Canis lupus familiaris: one gene and its partner. Each later gene encodes a partner of the first gene's protein in a complex. Links are inferred from orthologs where the notes say so. Each region holds a gene or a part of one and is shown in the gene's direction. Other genes may lie near its edges.

Evidence for each region.
Region 2: the proteins of ITGB1 (region 1) and FERMT2 are in contact, whole or in part, in a crystal structure (PDB 8TEE), measured with the Mus musculus proteins. The link is inferred for Canis lupus familiaris from reciprocal best matches to the Homo sapiens genes ITGB1 and FERMT2. Residues at the interface, in NP_034708.1 of Mus musculus: Ala786, Val787, Thr788, Thr789, Val790, Val791, Asn792, Pro793, Tyr795, Glu796, Gly797; in NP_666166.2 of Mus musculus: Phe609, Ser610, Asn611, Met612, Lys613, Gln614, Trp615, Asn616, Val617, Asn618, Trp619, Glu620, Ala629, Asp630, His647, Ile654, Ser657, Thr658, Lys674, Leu675, Ser677, Gly678.

Annotation. Positions count from the first base shown.
Region 1 is NC_049223.1:3,937,741-3,942,049, forward strand, and holds the start of ITGB1 (integrin beta-1), read left to right. Parts: upstream 1-1,337; 5' UTR 1,338-1,495; intron 1,496-4,309.
Region 2 is NC_049229.1:29,346,097-29,349,908, reverse strand, and holds part of FERMT2 (fermitin family homolog 2), read left to right. Parts: intron 1-957; coding exon 958-990; intron 991-1,315; coding exon 1,316-1,541; intron 1,542-1,806; coding exon 1,807-1,909; intron 1,910-3,393; coding exon 3,394-3,501; intron 3,502-3,812. UniProt on the Homo sapiens protein: Scaffolding protein that enhances integrin activation mediated by TLN1 and/or TLN2, but activates integrins only weakly by itself. Binds to membranes enriched in phosphoinositides.

The DNA of each region.
Region 1 (4,309 bases):
GCTGAGCCACCCAGGCGTTCCTTCTTCTCTTTTAAATGTTCATCTTCACGTACTAAAAAAAAGCGAAGAGTAACACCATATTTTTATGGATGCAATTTTAGGTCTTAACCAATTTTACCTCTTAACCATGTTCCCCATAAATGGGCCTCCAGATTAATCTAACAAAAGGAGATCCCTAACTTACCAGTTTTTCTTTTCTCTAAAACTTTCCTAAAAATCCATCTTTCTTGGCATTGACCGCCTTCCTGTCTTCACCACCTCATACAGCCAAGTCAAGCCAACTATCCACTCCAGTCAACAGTAGTGGCTTTAGCTAATTCCCTAGAAGTTAAAGTTTGGGCCCCTGGAAGCCCCAGAGGGTGGGTGATCCTCTGGATGTGCCTGGGACTGAAGGAGATCCTGGGCTGACGGGACCACTGGGTGTGGCTCTGGGGCAGTGGACCGCAAGGCCCAGCAGGTGTTCAGCCCCAGGCTCCCGACGCCCCCCCCCCCCCCCCACGCACCTCCCTCGGTCGGTCGGTCGGCGGGAGCGGAAACTGAGGCACAGCGAAGGCCCAGTCCCAGGCCAGCTCCCACCCTGCTCCTTGGGCCTGGCCTCGGCTTTCTGGCCCCCTCCTCCTGGTCCCCCTGCTCCCGTGCTCCCCCGTCCTTGGGATCCTGCTCCCCTGCGCGTCCTCCCCTCCTCCTGCTCCCGGTCCTCGGGATCCTGCTCCCTCTGCCGGTCCTCCCCTCGTCTCCTCCTCCCCTCCTCCTGCTCCCCGTCCTCCGGATCCTGCTCCCCTGCGCGTCCTCCCCTCCTCCTGCTCCCGGTCCTCGGGATCCTGCTCCCTCTGCCGGTCCTCCCCTCGTCTCCTCCTCCCCTCCTCCTGCTCCGGTCCTCGGGATCCTGCTCCCCTGCGCGTCCTCCCCTCCTCCTGCTCCCGGTCCTCCGGATCCTGCTCCCTCTGCCGGTCCTCCCCTCGTCTCCTCCTCCCCTCCTCCTGCTCCGGTCCTCGGGATCCTGCTCCCCTGCGCGTCCTCCCCTCCTCCTGCTCCCGGTCCTCCGGATCCTGCTCCCTCTGCCGGTCCTCCCCTCGTCTCCTCCTCCTGCTCCCTCTGCCGGTCCTCCCCTCCGTCTCCCCCGCCCCTCCTCCTCTCCCGCCCGCCCGCCCTCCCTCCGCGCTCCTCCGGCGTCCTCCTCCCCTCCCCGCCTCAGGCGAGCTGACGCCGCCCGGCAGGAATGCGTTTCCGGAGGGAGGGGAGCAGGAGCGGCCGCGGCGGCCGGAGGAGCAGGAGCGGCGGGGCCGAAGAGGCGGTGCCGCGGGGGTCGTTTCCTGCCGGGAGGCGGCTCCGGGCGGCCGAGTCTCCTGCCCCCGCCCCCGAGGAGGAGGAGCCGCCGCCGCCGCCGCGCCCGAGAGCCGGGAGGCCGCGCTAGCCGTCGGGAGAGGCCGAGCCGAGTCCCGGAGTCCCGGAGCTGCAGGCCCCAGCCGACCGCGGCCCGGACGCCCCGGAGAAGGTGGCGCCGTGTGTGCGCGCGTGTGTGCGTGTGCGCGTGTGCGCGTGTGTGCGTGTGGCGGGCGGCGCGGGCCGGGGCGCCGCGGCCGGGCCTGCGTGGGGCGGGGGCGGGGGCGGGGCGGCGGGCGCGGTGGCGGGGCTGCGGGACGAAACGCTGCCCCGGGGCCGGGGCGGGGGCCGGGGCCGGGGCGGGGGCCGGGGGCCGGGGGCCGGGGGCCGGGCCGGCTGCGCCCGCCGAGGCCCGGAGCTCGTCCCGCCGCCTCGCGAGTGGGGGTCGCGGGCCTGGGCGCTGTCCCGCCGCGGTGGGGGGCCCCGAGCGCGCGGAGCGAGCCGGCCTGCCTCGTGGGCCGCCTGGGCCCGGGTTCCGCGTGCGGGGAGGGGCGAGCGGGGCCGCCCGCGGCCCGAGGCCCCGGGGCTTGGAGCGAGCCCTTGCGGCTTCCCTTTGTTCCCGGTCCCGTCGGGGCCGCTCTCCCCCGAGCGGCCTGGAGCGTAGTAGCGCGCTTCCCGCTTGCAGAAGTCGGGCCGCAGCCTTCAGGGCCTGCTGCCGGGGCTAACTGCGGGCCGGGCCCAAAGAGAGGCGGGCGTCGGGAGCCGGGGAAGGCGCGGGCTTGGCGACTTGGGGTGTGTGAGGGCCGCGCCGAGTGGGGGGTCCCTCAGCAGGGGGCCGGCCAGGGGCTCCCGCGGCTCTGCAGGAGCCAGTGCCCACCTGCCCTGGGGCCCGGCCTCTTACTGCGCCTCAATTCTTGGGCTTCCTAACAAGTTGTAGTTACTACCAATATTTTATGCCTAAGTCATTTTTATTTCATCGAATTTGTACTTTTTAGTCAAAAACTAACACTAGTAAATTACCCTCTTGGGGCTTCCATTTCCTCACCCGTAAAATGGGAACAAGAATACCTACACTAATAATAAAAGCAGCTATTCTAGTAAGGACAGTGCGGGCCGTGGTTAGCTCTACGCACTTTACCTGTGTTTATCCTGGAACCAATACAATGAGGTAGGTGCAGTTTTTATACTCATTTTACTAGTGAAGAAACTGAGGCACAGGAGGCCTAAGTAATTTGCCTCTGATCATCCAGCCTAGTGAGTGAAGAACCCATGGGGTCTAGCACCAGAGCCCATGTTTGAATCACAGGTTCAAGTAACAGGTTCCATAAAGACCATAGAGTTGTGAATATCAGATGTAATATGTAAAACAGCTTACAGTAGATGCTAAATGCATAGGACTCCTTTCTGTCTCTTCTTGATATATGAAAAAGATTTAAAAAAAAATCTCAGGACGTAATTGATCCGCTATGCTGTTATTTTTGGTTGTTTTGATGGTATAAAAATAATGTGAAATAAATGTTGGTTAGGCATTTTTCCGAAAGGGCATACAGCCTTTAGTTATATTAATAGACCACTTTTAGAAATGATTAAGGAATTTCAGGTGGAAGTTAACCTAGTCTACATCTGTGAACATCTACACCCACAGGGGATGGTAATTAAGAGTTCACTACAGTGTTCATATTTTTAAATAATTTTAGTTCATTGATCAATATTAAATGAGTGGCTTAAGATAATGAAGTGATACATAGGAAACAGAGGGACAGGTCTGTTGGGGACAGGGCTCTGGGGAAAAAGCCATTTATTTATTTGAAAATTCATAAAATGGAAGATGTTATTAGAATGTTAGCTAAAAAGACAGGGGATGTGGTTAATACTTTTGTAAATAGAAAGCAAATAAATTCCAAATGAAGGTATCTGTGTTGACTTCACAGACTTAAAATTTAGTTTTTGTAATGTTGAGTCTCTTTAAAAGAATGCTGAATTCTCCATTATGATTATTTTATATTACTATTTTATAATACCCTCAACAGTCTGTACGTGAAAAAATATAGAATCAACAATATTGAAAATTGCTAGGTTTAGTGATTTTAACAATTAGGTGGTTTTTTTCTTAACTCTCTGGTCAATATAATTAAAATCTGGCCCAAATTTCCATCACTGAATGAATATGCAGTTCTGCATGGTTATCAATAAACTCCTAACTCCAGGAGCTTCTCTGGGGACGTCTGGTCATTTTGTAATAGGCAGAATTAATCAGTTTAATGTGCCAGTTTTAACGGAATACTTGCCACATAATAGCTTTATTGTTTGGCTTCTTGTCAAATAAATTGCGGCTTACGATATGGGGGTGGGGTAGTATAACACTCTACCTCAGGAAAATATTTTTCTTTGATATTCGGTTGGTACACTGGTCTGTTCTTAACTACACTGCTGGAATGATGAGATGAAACATCTTTTGCCGGTTCAAAGTTGCAGAACTTCTGACTTCTGAGATTTTCAGTTTCTGAATGTATAAAAGCTTGAATGTATCTAAGGACTTATATGGACTCTTGTTAAATTTTAGATTTCCTCACTCTGCATGGAAAGTTAGGATGTATCAGGTTGGGGTAGAATCCTAGAGGATTATACTGTGCAAATATGAAAATATGTCTTGTGGTATTAGTGGGTCTGTTCTAACTTTGGTCATATATTGTGGGGGTTTTGTTCTTTTTTGTTGTCATAGTGGGAGTCTTGGGGAAGGGGGATGGATTGACAGGGATAACAGTAAGGAAGAGTGCCTTAGTCTTCAGGATCCTGAAATGGAAGCAGTATCTATAAATGTAGAAGGCTGAAAAAATATGACAGTATGTACTTGGGTTAAGGGAGTTGCAATCCATAAAACTCAGAACATTAGCAGCAGCCTCAGAATATTTCAGTGAGTAAGCTGAAAAAAAAAAAAAAAAAAGTGGTAGGTCTTCCTCAGGAGCCATGTGCAAAAGGAGCCAGC
Region 2 (3,812 bases), on another chromosome or scaffold:
TCAAATGAGATACCATGTGGCTAGAAAGATTTTTTTTTTTTTACTTTGTGTGCTCTTCCTAGACTAGGTCATGACAACTATAAAAATCTCTAGCATGACTACCTCTGTTTCATAGGGAATTGTTTCTGTCATTGCATGGAGTAATTGTTTTTATCATTGCATGGAGGGGTTGTTAGAGTGGAAGGGAAATTCCTAAGCATATTCCTAAATTAGATAAGGGAAAACAGTCATTCTCTTTGCATCCTCCATTTACACATTTTCTTTTTAAAAATTATGACTGAAAACAAACATAAAAGGGTTAGGACTTCGAGGGAAGGTTCTTTTACTTAACATTATTCTGAACTTTGAAGTCTTAATTTAATCCAGTCTCCTTAATTTTTGTAATTTAAAATGATGGAGGATATATTGTCAGTTGACTAAGTCAACAAGTTTTAATTAATGTAGCCTCTACTACATGTATGTCCCTGTTGAACACTGAGGAATTGGAAGATAAAATACCCCTGCCTTTGGGGCTTAATTATAAAATGTATCTTTGTTTGCAAAACTTTATCTTCCCGTTTGCTTTACTAGTTTATTTGTAAAGCTGTTGGAACCAGTTCAGCTATTAACTGAGAAAATGTTAACATAAAATTGTTCTTAGTTTATGTGCATTTATTCAGTTACATCAAGCTGTCTTAAAACAGGGTGTGGATTTCAAAGAGTGATAAACGTGGATATGTTTGTCACTGGATGCTTGACTAGAGCACTTCATTTTTTTGAATTGGACAAAAAAACTTATGTTACAGTTTTTAAGATTCTTTACTCTTAAATTCATCTAAAATATTTACTTCGGTTTATAATTCACATTAGGAAAATCTGTTTTTCTTTTTTCCATTTCCTTTTCCTTTTCATTTCGTTTCTGTCTTCTGTTGTTACCTTTCCTTTACCTTCTGAATTCCTGTCTTTCCTTTCCTATAGGCACCGATGTTCTTTACATTGGCCCTCTGAAAGGTGAGCCTTGCCACAATTAAAAACTTGATCTGTCTGCTTCAGCTATATTCTTAACATTTAGCTTCTAATTCCCTTGAACTGTTTTCCCCAGAATTTCTGCCAATGTAATTATATTCTTTTGACCTTGTTATTTATTATATGTTCTAATGTTGTACAAGTAGAATTAAAGTTAATTTTACATGTTTTCAAGACAGGTAAAATAATGTACTAAGCTCTTCCATAATGAAACTTGTTTCACAATTTGCGTTATATAGCATGTATTATTAAAAACTAAAATTCTGTACTTCATTCATACTTATTACCTATTTTTCATGTTATTTATTAGGAAGTATATATTCAAGCCCAGGACTTTACAGTAAAACAATGACCCCCACTTACGATGCTCATGATGGAAGCCCCTTGTCACCAACTTCTGCTTGGTTTGGTGACAGTGCTTTGTCAGAAGGCAACCCTGGTATACTTGCTGTCAGTCAGCCAATCACATCACCAGAAATTCTGGCGAAAATGTTCAAGCCTCAGGCTCTTCTTGACAAAGCAAAAATCAACCAAGGGTAAGTTTTAAAATACAGAAACATTGAGGGACGCCTGGGTGTGGTTCAATCGGTTAAGCTCTGACTCATTATTTCAGCTTGGGTCATGATCTTTTGGGTCATGGGATTGAGCCCCACATCAGGCTTGTATACACGCTGTCTCTCAAATAAATTTTTTAAAAATTAATGAATTAAAGACACACTGAAGAATTTCTTTCTCCAACTAGAGGTAGAAATATTTTATTAATCTTGTCTTGCATTCCACTGCTCTTGTTAATTTGTCCAGGTGGCTTGATTCCTCAAGATCTCTTATGGAACAAGATGTGAAGGAAAATGAGGCCTTGCTTCTCCGATTCAAGTATTACAGCTTTTTTGATTTGAATCCAAAGGTACCGAGGGTTTAGAGGGATCTCTTTTTTTTTTGGTTCATTTGGATGTTTGTTTTTTAGAATTGATGGGGTAAGTAATCATTTGTATATAGAACATCTGAATAATATTACAAACCCAAGCTTTAGACAAAGGCATCTGTATTTGAAATAAGTATTGTGTTCCTAGGTTGGGAACATAATTAAACTTTTTCTTTTTTGTTAAAATAATTGAATTTTTGGTTGATTTGTATTTTAAATGCACTAGCTTGGTACTATAGAATTGATAAAGTTAGTTTTAGGGATTTTTTTTTTTAAGTCTCTCTTTAAGCTGTGATTTTAGTAAAATAAGAGTTTCTGGAAAAAAAAGTGTTTCTGAAATAGTACCTTTTCAATGACTTTCAAATTTCTAATTATAAATCACAAGATGTTGCTTCAAAGAAAAACTAAGTCTACATTTCTTCCTACTTAGTTAGGCAAACATTGTTATATATTTTTACTATCAAATGACTGCATCATCTGTCCTACTGAAATACTTTGCTTTTCTGAGAAGAGTAAATTTGATAAGAAATCTTGGAGTATTTTTCCCTAGAAAACATATGGCATGGTGTTTTGGATCTTTTGCTTCCTTATTATCGTTCTTAGGTGAAAACCTCTCTTGGCTACTTCTCATCCTTTTCATGTCTAGATTATAGTATAGATTTTAATGTATATGCTTACCATTTTTTATTATGTGCTTAAGTAATTCTTTAACGGTAAAATGTATAATTTGGAACTACAAAAAACAGTCTTAGTCCCCTCAGGCCATATCATGTCTCATTTCAGTAAAACCAAAACTGTTTTGGGAACGTAAGTTATATTTGCTAGGGAAGAGGGATGCCATATGTTTTGTTACCACTCTAAAATAGTATTGCTAGTACATTACTATTAATTTTTATTAACATAACTAAATGGATAATTCAGTAACATATAAGTAAATCTTTACCACAAGTATATATATGTACTCTGTATTTCAGATTCTTAATATAATTACTAAGGACCTAGTACTTTGTCTAAGTATGCTTTTCCATAGTGAGCAGGGTGTTCCCTGAAGTAACTTACTCCCTGACTGTAACATTTTAGTGTGGCAGGTTGCAATAACAAGTGAAAATCAGTCACTTGTACCTTACTTTAAATGTCTCTCAAGTTAGATTCATTTTGTTAAGAGCTCTGTAATATCTAATTATTATTTCCCTGTAAAATAACATACAGAATCTTATTTCTAATACTGAGTAATAATATTTTGGCATATTTTTAATGTCATTTTTAATGGAAAATTAGATGTGGGAATATATAGATATACCTAACCCGATAGGTATCCTTGTTATTGAGCATTTGATACTGTATAAAAATCCCAGAAAAAAAGTATATTAAAACTTTTTGTTAAGCTTTGAAAGTGAATATTCACTTTTCAAACATTTTTATGTTAAGGGTGATGTAGTAAAAAGATTGTGTCTCTTTTGCTGCAGTATGATGCAATCAGAATCAATCAGCTTTATGAGCAGGCCAAATGGGCTATTCTCCTAGAAGAAATTGAATGCACAGAAGAAGAAATGATGATGTTTGCAGCCTTACAGGTAGTGGAGAGTATTGGTAAATGGGACTTTCAAGGGAAAGAGTAGGGGATTATTTTTAAATAAAGTAGCATTGTAATTCCAGTAGTATTTTGATAGTGTTTACTTTTTGCTGTGTGGAAACTGAATACACTTAAAGACAAATCCATGAATTTAATTTTTTTGTCATCTCATCTAAGAGTTTGGTGGTGGTGTACTGTTAGTGGTATACTTAACAGCTATTTTTCTGTATCCTATAGGAGAAATACATTGTCCTACCTCTAGATATATAGTAGCTTAACACTACCCCATTTTCCCTTAGAAATGGGATCTGT